Sus scrofa: one gene and its partners. The main gene of each other region encodes a partner of the protein of the gene in region 3 in a complex. Links are inferred from orthologs where the notes say so. Each region holds a gene or a part of one and is shown on either strand. Other genes may lie near its edges. The genes, in order: YWHAG, OOEP and NLRP5.

Evidence for each region.
Region 1: the proteins of NLRP5 (region 3) and YWHAG are in contact, whole or in part, in a cryo-EM structure (PDB 8XI3), measured with the Mus musculus proteins. The link is inferred for Sus scrofa from reciprocal best matches to the Homo sapiens genes NLRP5 and YWHAG. Residues at the interface, in NP_035990.1 of Mus musculus: Ser1030, Cys1031, Ser1055, Gln1058, Cys1059, Pro1060, Val1061, Glu1084, Phe1087, Val1088, Lys1089; in NP_061359.2 of Mus musculus: Phe201, Tyr216, Thr220, Met223, Gln224, Arg227, Asp228, Thr231, Ser235.
Region 2: the proteins of NLRP5 (region 3) and OOEP are in contact, whole or in part, in a cryo-EM structure (PDB 8H93), measured with the Mus musculus proteins. The link is inferred for Sus scrofa from reciprocal best matches to the Homo sapiens genes NLRP5 and OOEP. Residues at the interface, in NP_035990.1 of Mus musculus: Glu173, Leu176, Leu195, His196, Gly202, Leu206, Asn322, Leu325, Glu326, Tyr337, Ile338, Leu339, Val340, Glu341, Gly342, Leu343, Ser344, Ala345, Ser346, His373, Asn625, Gln626, Asp652, Ser655, Glu661, Leu662, Cys663, Pro664; in NP_080756.1 of Mus musculus: Ser26, Leu27, Arg28, Leu29, Arg30, Thr31, Arg32, Ile38, Val41, Asn43, Tyr48, Met49, Leu75, Leu86, Glu88, Pro95, Thr99, Lys102.

What each region holds. Positions count from the first base shown.
Region 1 is NC_010445.4:10,018,732-10,021,385, reverse strand, and holds part of YWHAG (14-3-3 protein gamma), read right to left. Parts: intron 1,488-2,654; coding exon 831-1,487; 3' UTR 823-830; intron 1-822. UniProt on the Homo sapiens protein: Adapter protein implicated in the regulation of a large spectrum of both general and specialized signaling pathways. Binds to a large number of partners, usually by recognition of a phosphoserine or phosphothreonine motif.
Region 2 is NC_010443.5:53,006,376-53,008,850, reverse strand, and holds OOEP (oocyte-expressed protein homolog), read left to right. Parts: upstream 1-973; coding exon 974-1,160; intron 1,161-1,331; coding exon 1,332-1,511; intron 1,512-1,873; coding exon 1,874-1,953; downstream 1,954-2,475. UniProt on the Homo sapiens protein: Component of the subcortical maternal complex (SCMC), a multiprotein complex that plays a key role in early embryonic development.
Region 3 is NC_010448.4:60,374,306-60,378,062, reverse strand, and holds the start of NLRP5 (NACHT, LRR and PYD domains-containing protein 5), read right to left. Parts: upstream 2,394-3,757; 5' UTR 2,228-2,393; intron 1-2,227. UniProt on the Homo sapiens protein: Component of the subcortical maternal complex (SCMC), a multiprotein complex that plays a key role in early embryonic development.

The DNA of each region.
Region 1 (2,654 bases), on a different chromosome or scaffold from region 3:
TAATTTTTGTGGTGGGTTTAAGTTAAGAAGAAGGGACCAAAAAAAATCCCACAGCCACCTGCCAAGCACCTGTTAACCAAAACCTAAAGTAGCTCTGATTCTCCTCAGGCAAGCCTTCCGGCCTAGGAGAGAGAGAACAGCAAAACCAACCTGGATAAGGCTGAATAAGGACGTACAAGCCACAGTAAAGAAAAATACACAATCAATGGCTTGATGTTACATATGGCTGTAATGTAGAAATACTGTAAACTGCAATTTAGTGTTAATACTGTCAACCAATCAGGAACTTCTGAAAACTGGCAACGCCTAACCCATAAGGATAAATATACCTTATGTTCTAAGTCTATCAGCTTGGGATTTAAACTATTCCATGTCTGGTAGAGTACACCCTGAAAAAAAAATGCACAGCTAAAACAGATGAGACAGAAAGTACCCAAAACTTAAGACAAGAGCATATGTACATAAAAATCCTTACTGGAACCACAGAACTTATTGAATGAGGGCCATTCCATTTAAGTTTTCAATTCATCTTTAAACCCTATGTTCTAGCAATAAGTTAAATTAAAGACAGCTCCACTTGCATTAATCTACAGAACAGTCCATAAGCCAGTGTGAGGCTGCTATTCCAATACCAGCACAGCTAGCCTGACTTTCCACTAGTGGTATTTTGGCAAAAATGTCAAAGAGGCGATCAAAGACAGGACAGGTCGTGGGTTTCTCCCTAGGAAGGTCATCCCTCCCTTTCCCTCCCCCACCCGACCCCCAACTCATGGGAAAAAATAAAGACTGCAGTAGTAGCATCAGCGTGCGCTGCCAGTCCACCTGGGGCCTTAATTGTTGCCTTCTCCACCGTCGTCGTCTTGCTGATCGCTTGTCCAGAGCGTGAGGTTGTCGCGGAGGAGCTGCATGATGAGCGTGGAGTCCTTGTAGGAGTCCTCGTTGAGGGTGTCAAGCTCGGCGATGGCGTCATCGAAAGCGGTCTTGGCCAAGTGGCAGGCTTGCTCCGGGGCGTTCTGGATCTCATAGTAGAAAACGGAGTAGTTAAGGGCCAGGCCTAATCTAATGGGGTGAGTGGGCTGCATGTGCTCCTTGCTGATCTCATGGGCTTCGCTATAGGCCTTCTCAGACGACTCCACGACGGTCGCCCTCTTCTCTCCAGTGGCTACTTCGGCCAGGTAGCGGTAATAGTCCCCTTTCATCTTCAGGTAGAACACTTTGCTCTCATACTGGGTCTCGCTGCAATTCTTGATCAGGTAGTTATCCAGCAGGCTCAGCACATCCTGACATACGGCCTCCAACTCCTTCTCTATTTTTTCACGGTAAGCACGGACCATCTCTATCTTCTTCTCATTGCCATCTGCAGAGGTCTTCTGCTCAATGCTACTAATGACCCTCCAGGAAGAACGGCGCGCCCCGACTACATTCTTGTAAGCCACAGAGAGAAGGTTTCTTTCTTCATTGGACAGTGGCTCATTCAGCTCTGTCACCTATTAAGGAGGAAAGAAGACAGAGTTGTTACGGTACAGATGATGTCAGCTGGATTAATCACTTCTTTATGCCGCTAAAACATCAGCTGCTAAGGTCATTAACAGTCAGAGAAGTTAGGCCGTGCAGCTCTATGGAAGGGGGACGGAGGTGGGACGAGCAACAACCAAGGAAAAAAAACTGCAGCTGGATCACTGGTGCCTCAACTCCTGCTTCCTTCCTAGAAAAGGACACACACACGTGTCACGTAGCTCTCCCGTAAGATGACAAACCAAATCTCGATCTACATTACAAAAGGTCAACAGCTCTCATGCAACATTACATAGATACCAATCCTCAGGACTTTAACTAGAGATGGCTTCCATACAGCATCAGTTTTTTAAAGAAAATGGAATAACAGCTTCTAAGCTTGACCTGCCAAATTTCAGTCCCAGCCCTCTGGATGAGAGTATCTTGCATGCTGGGTGAGAATATATCGAGTCAACTTCAAAGTTGACTTTTGAGAAACAAAGAAACTTTTCTGTTCTTACGTTAGTATAAACTAGAGTTCCTGCTGTGGTGCAGTGGGGTCAGTGCCGTGTCTGCAGCACCAGGATGCAGATGCAGGCTCAATCCCCGGGCCTGGCACAGTGGGTTAAAGGATCCCACCTCCCGCAGCTGCAGCGTAGGTCACAACTGCAGCTCAGATTTGATCCCTGGCCTGAGAATTCCATGTGCCACTGGGTGGCCGAAAAAGCAAAAAGGATAATATAAATTACAAACCTCAGAAAGAAAGTAAAAATTGGGGGCATGGGATTGACTCTATAATTACTGAGATATTTGCAACTCAGAGAATAAATACTTGAATACAATTAGCAAAAAGATGGAGAGGTGAGCAAAAAAAGCACTTCTGAGTTGAGGAGACCAATAGGAATGAATGCTTCTTTTTTTTCCCTTTTTATTTTTTTCTGTTATAGTTGATTTATAATGTTCTGTCAATTTCTGCTGTACAGCAAAGTGACCCATTCATACAGATATGAATGCTTCTTTCCATTGTACTTATTTATTTTTCTTGGCCATGCTTGCAACATGTGGAAGTTCCCAAGCCAGGAATCAAACTCTCACCACAGCAGAGACCTGAGCCACTGCCATGACAATGCCAGGTATGCAATCCGCTGTGCGGCAAGGGA
Region 2 (2,475 bases), on a different chromosome or scaffold from region 3:
ACTGTTGAGGCCCAGATGATACGGATGAGGGAGAGAAAGGAAAAATGCTCTGGTGATATCTATTTTAAAGAAGAGAAATGAGGCAAATGTGGGAAATATTAACATCTTGTTAAATGGAGAGCAGTACATGAGTGTTTTATACAGCTTTCTGAATGTGTGAAATCTTTCATAATTTAAATTTTTAACTAAAATTAAGAACCTTGGGAAGAAATGGGCACCAACACTAGTTGTCTCAGGATTTTGGAAATGAGATTTGTCTACACTTGCTAAGTTTTTTTAGAATGACCACCTCTGAAGTCTGTATTTTATTTTCAATCTTTTTTTTTTTTTTAAATAAAAGCAATGTAACCTTCTGCAGAGGCAGGAAACCCTGTCTTTATGTATGTAAGTATGTATGTATTTTTGGCAGTGCCCAAGGCATATGGAAGTTTCCAGGCCAGGAATCCAACCCTCTTAATCTGCACCACTGCAGTGACAACGACGGATCCTTAACCCACTGTGCCACAAGAGAATTTCTGAAGTCCATATTTTAAACACAACACATTTGTTTGAATGATTTCGAAGTGGTAACAAACCAGAGTCAGGAAACGAGAACAGAAGAGAGAAGTTGCAGATTCCAGGAATCTGCCCTGGACCTGGCACGCCTTAGGCATGGCCTTGGAAACCTTAACCAGGCAATGGAAGAAACTCCCGCTCAGTCAAACCACACTTCAATCAGCTGTGTTCCGAGGCTGGAACCTTAAGGCTAAGTGTTACCTTACAGGTGGAGAGGCTCGGAGAGACTCAAGGTGGAAAAGGAAGTCCAGGTGACCCACGCAGAGAAGGAAGTGCCGGGGCAGCACCGGGCACCAGCACCAAACAAGCGGGTGAGGCAGCAGGGGCCCAGGTGCACCAGCAGGGGCGGGGCCAGCAGGACACCCTAAAGGGCCGGGCTTCGCACCCCTGCAAGCTCCACGGTAGCGCTGGTCTAAGCATGCACAGCGCAGGTGCCACCGAAGCCCAGGGGGCAGAGTCGACGACATCTCCCCAGGAGAAAGGGCTGCTGGAGTTACCACTTCTGGCGCCACGGATTCACACCCGGCCTTGGTGGTTTCCTGTGCAGGAGCTGAGAAACCCATTGGTGTTTTCCCTGGAGGCGTGGCTGGCTGACTCCATCTTCGGTGAGCGACTGGGTGTGCTGGGAGCAGGCCCCTGGGCGGCTTTCTATAGCCCAGTTCCCTGGTCATCAGCCCAGTTCCCCAGCTTCCAGTCCTTCCTGCTCCCATTCCCTTACAGCTAGCTCTTCCTGCTCTTTGACCGGTGCCGCTGCTCAGCCTCTCTCTCTTCTTTAGGCCCAAACCAAGTCCTGGTTCCGAAGATTGAGTGGATGAGCCAGGCCCTGCTGATGGTAGACACAGTTAACGCCGAGAACTTGGTCGAAATCACAGTCTTTGGACGACCAACTGTACAACATCGGGTGAAGAACGTCCTCCTTAGCCTAGCGTCGAGGCACCGAGAGCATCGTGCCCGAGGTAAGGATCTTGGAAAACATGCCTGTGGAGGGAGCCACAAGAGAAAACACCTGGTCGTGCTTATCTTCCTTCCAGCCTCATATCTTCCCAAAGCGTTTTGCAGTTTCCTCATTCCAGCATGTTGCAGAGAGTCTCCCTGGGCATCTCTTTGTGAAGAATCCAAATAGGACATGGGGAAAGTAGGCTGAGATATGATGCATTCAGGCCCATCACTGCCCACGTCAGCCTCAGCTTGGTGGCACCACTACCTCCAGATCCTAGGTTCAGAGCTTCCACCCTGAGAAATGATGTCGCCAGAGCTCCCCTTCCGCTAACTCCTGTGAAATAGTAGTTTGCAACAGTGAGCATTTTTCCTTTTCCAGCTGAAAAGATGGAACAACTCGAGGAATTCTTGAAGGCCCTTGCATCAGGTCCCCAGAACCCCCAGCATCCTGTTGCATAAGCATTGTCAGGAGCATGAGAACAGTCCTGCTTCTGCTACTCAAGTTCAAGAGAAGCAAATATCCTTAAATCTCTGCATTTTTTTCCTGTGTCCTGATTGTTTATTATTTTGATGTAAATGTGAGTTTGTAATGCCACTGAGTAAATAAATGAATTTCCTTTTTTGTTCAATAGCATAAAGATCTTTTCTCACTAAAAATAAAAGCAAATTTATAAAAGATTGACTTCGCTCATTCATGTCTTGATGTGAGAGGTGGGTAAAAGGCTGATGGTGGGTTTAGTTTCTGCCGTTTTGAAACTACTAACCCTTTTATCATTATTTTATGGTCAGAGTCAGGCCTTCAAGCACAGAGTACAGAACTATATGGTCAGTCTGCTTTGAGTTTCTTTTGTATCATTTGTTCTCAAACTTTATTGTGTGTAAGGGTCATCTTGAAAACTTCCTAAAACACAATTTCTTGGTCCCCTTCTCCACTGATTCGATGCAGTAGATTGAGCCCATGGAATTTTCTTTTCTAAAAAG
Region 3 (3,757 bases):
AGAAATACATACATTTTACTAAAACAATTGAGACCTTACCACCATGACTCATCTATGAAAAACAGAAAAAAAAAAAAAAAAAAAAGGAGGTGAACATTACTTATGGAGAGACAAAGTTTATGGCTGGGTCACTCAAAGCAGATGCCTCGAAAGCACTTTCCTCAACATTTCTATACAACATTTACGTAAAGTATTGACCCTACTGGGAAAATATTTCTAAAATGCACTAAAAGGTTACATCCTAACCACAGAGCAGCTAACATTCCCTAGGTTAAATTAAATGAAAATGATATAGAGAGCAGACTTGTTGTTGCCAAGGGGGCAGGGGTGAGGGAGGGAGGGGGAGTTTGGGATTCACAGAGGCCAACTATTACATTTAGAAAGGATACACAACCAGGTCCTACTGAATAGCACAGGAACTATATTCTCTATCTTATGATAAACTGTAATGGAAAAGAATACACACACACACACACACACAAATTACTTTGCTTACAGCAGAAATTAACACAACATTGTAAGTCAACTATACTTCAATAAACTAAATTTTAAAAATACATGAAAAATTTCCTAGGTTTATTTTTCCCTCTAACATAAAACCACCTTGATACAGGGAGATTGAATACATAAAACAGGGAGTTCCTGTTGTAGCTCAGCAGACATGCATCTGACTAGGATCCATGAGGACCCAAGTTTGATCCTTGGCCCTGCTCAGTGGGTTAAGGATCTGGCGTTGCTGTGGCTGTGGTATAGGCCGGCAGCTACAGCTCCAATTTGACCCCTAGCCTGGAAACCTCCATATGCTGCAGGCGTGGCCCTAAAAAGATAACAAACAAACCAACAAGCCCCCAAACCTCCCCATTATTTGAGTTAGGTGACTAAATGAATACAGGAAGCTTGTTTAAAAGAGAATGCATTTCAGGTTGTCAAACCCAAACAGTATCGATCCACCATTTGAATTAAACATTTGCTTCACCACACAAAGCCATCCAGAGAGATTACAGGAGCCAGAACACCGTCCAACCCTCAGGGGTAATTACCACATCACTGTGGTTTAGAGACGGGTATTTTTAGGGTGATATTGAGAAGGTTTCTATGCTCGGAACTAAGAGCCATGGAAGTGGAAGAAGCTAAGAATGAAAACAGTGTGTTCTCTTTTAAATCCCTTTTCAGGAGATGTAGAGCATCTCGTGTAAACTTTGTATCAACAGTATCAATCTATAAAGATTCCTGCATTACTGTAACTCCGAGGGTATTACTGTCCTCGCTTTCCAGAGTGGAGAGCTGACGTTCTGAGGAGGAGAGCTTGCTCTGCTTTAGGAAGGAGCATGGCCAAACCCATCCGACTCTAATTCTCCATCTCCTCTAATATATTCTGGAGGGAAACCCACATGTTAAACCCCCAAGACAGGTGAGTCGAGGGGCGGAGAGTCCAGGTGGAAGGAATAAGGGGGGACAGGCTGATGGACCCCCTTCTCCCATAAAATCGAGGTGGGGTTGGTGAGAAGGCCAAGGCCTTCCAGGAGAGGCAAGAGGGTAGGTTGGAGGGCTAAGTCAAGACGATGGTCAGAGCTAATTTCTGGGAACAAATGACTCATCAGAGCTCCGTTTGTCTCTATCCTATAGGTACTAATTCCTGCAACACCTTTCTACACAGGTGTCTTGAAAAATCCCATGGAAACAGGTAAGACTCCAGGGCATGAAATCAGACCCAGTTTTGAATATTGATGTGCTTCTTGGTGCTCCAGGAAAAGCCACTTAACTCCTTTGTAACTCAGTTTCCTCACTTGACCAAGAACCCCCTCAGGACTGTGCAGCACTTCAATGACCCTGAGCTGCTGTTATCACCTTATCTGCAGAATTTACAGAGTAATTTGCCCGGACTCCTTTAAGACGTGGAGCAGACTTCTGCTGATCTCCACCCTGCTCTGTGAGCTCAGAGCACCCCAACCCTACCCTTTACTTCAGACCTAGAGCCTGGAAAGGGTTGCGAGATGTATGGAGGAAATACCCGAGACACCATGTGTGTTAGAGGTGGACCTTTTCATGAAAATGGGGAGATGGGGCACTTCCTTCTTGCTAAGGACACCTTTGGTCCCTGGACTCCTGCTAGTTTATACGGAGAGGAGGAGGGCAGAGCGTAGGGCTCACTGAATGGGTTCCCACCAGGAATGGAGGAAAAATGGGGAGAGAAAGATGTGGGAACAGGACAGAAGAAAACACTCACCAGCTCGCCTCCTCACCCCCAAGACTAGATCCCAACTGGCAACGACGGGGCGATGGGTCTTTGGGGAATCCTGGGCTGGTGACGTTGTTGCCGTCCATTGGCTGCCACGGCTCCAAACAGCCAGGGTAGATGTGGGGCAGCTGCTTTCTCTACCTGTATGCTCCACCCCCTTCCCACCTGTCAGGTGAAGATGCTGCATCACCCTTCCTAACCTGTGCCCAGGCCCTCTGGACAGAAACAGCCCTCACCTGGTTGCCCCAGAGCAAGGATGTGTGTGTCTCTCCTGATTTTACCTGACCTGGCATTTACCATTCTTGAATGATGCTGCTCTGGTTTGTTCAGTTGATTTTCTCCATGAAACTTATCCGGACTCCTGTGAGCTCATAGTATGTATTCCTGTTTGTGATCAAATAAATCCCCTGCCTTCTAAAGTACCATCTTAACACTGCTAATGATCAGGAAACGCAAATCCAAACCACCTTGAGCGCTCACCTTATACCTGTCAAAATGGCTATCATCAAAATGAGCTCACGTAACAACTGTTGGCAAGGATGTGGAGCAAAGGGAACCCATACGCCCTTCTGGTGGGAATGTAAGTGGGTGCAGCCATGGTGGAAAACAGCATGGAGACTGCTCAAAAAGCTAAGAGTAGAATGGCCATATGACCCGGCAGTTCCACTCCTGGGTATGTACCTGAAAACAAAACAAAGCAAAAACACTAATTTCAAAAGATCCATGCACCCCAGTGTTCATACAGCGTTACCCAGAATAGCCAAGATAGGGAAGCAGCTTGAATGTCCATCAATAGATGCATAAGGAAAATGTGGTATATATGAACGGTGAACTACCACTCAGCCATTAAAAAAGAATGGAATTTTGAAGTTCCTGTCATGGCTCAGTGGAAACAAACTCAACTGGTATCCATAAGGATGTGTGTTCCATCCCTGGCCCCACTCAGTAGTGAGCTGCGGTGTAGGTGGTAGATGAGGCACGGATCCAGAGTGGCTGTGGCTGTGGTGTAGGTTGGCAGCTGCAGCTCGGATCTGACCCCTAGCCTGGGAACCTCCATATGCCACACCTGCAGCCCTTGTCAACAACAACAACAAAAGAATGAAAAGTTGCCATGTGCAGCCACATGGATGGTCTGGGAGGGCTAGGTGAAATAAGTCAGGCAGAGAAAGACATAAATACTGTCTGATAGTCGCATGTGAAATCTGAAAGATACAACAAACGGGAGACTACAACAGAAAAGAAGCAGACACGGATTTGGAGAACACGCTACTGGTTACCAGTGAGGGGGGAGGGTAAACAGGTGTTGGGGAGTGGGAGCCATAAACCATTGGGTGTGAGATGGGCTCAAGGAGGGTTTGTACAACACGGGGAATAGAGCCAGTATGTTGTCCTAACTTTAAATGGAAAGTCACCCTTGAAAACTGTCTAAAAAATAAAAAAGGGCTCATCTTGGTGAATAGTAACAGCAGCCACTTTGGGCCTCAAATCTCTACATTAGTGATTATTTCCCAAAGCATT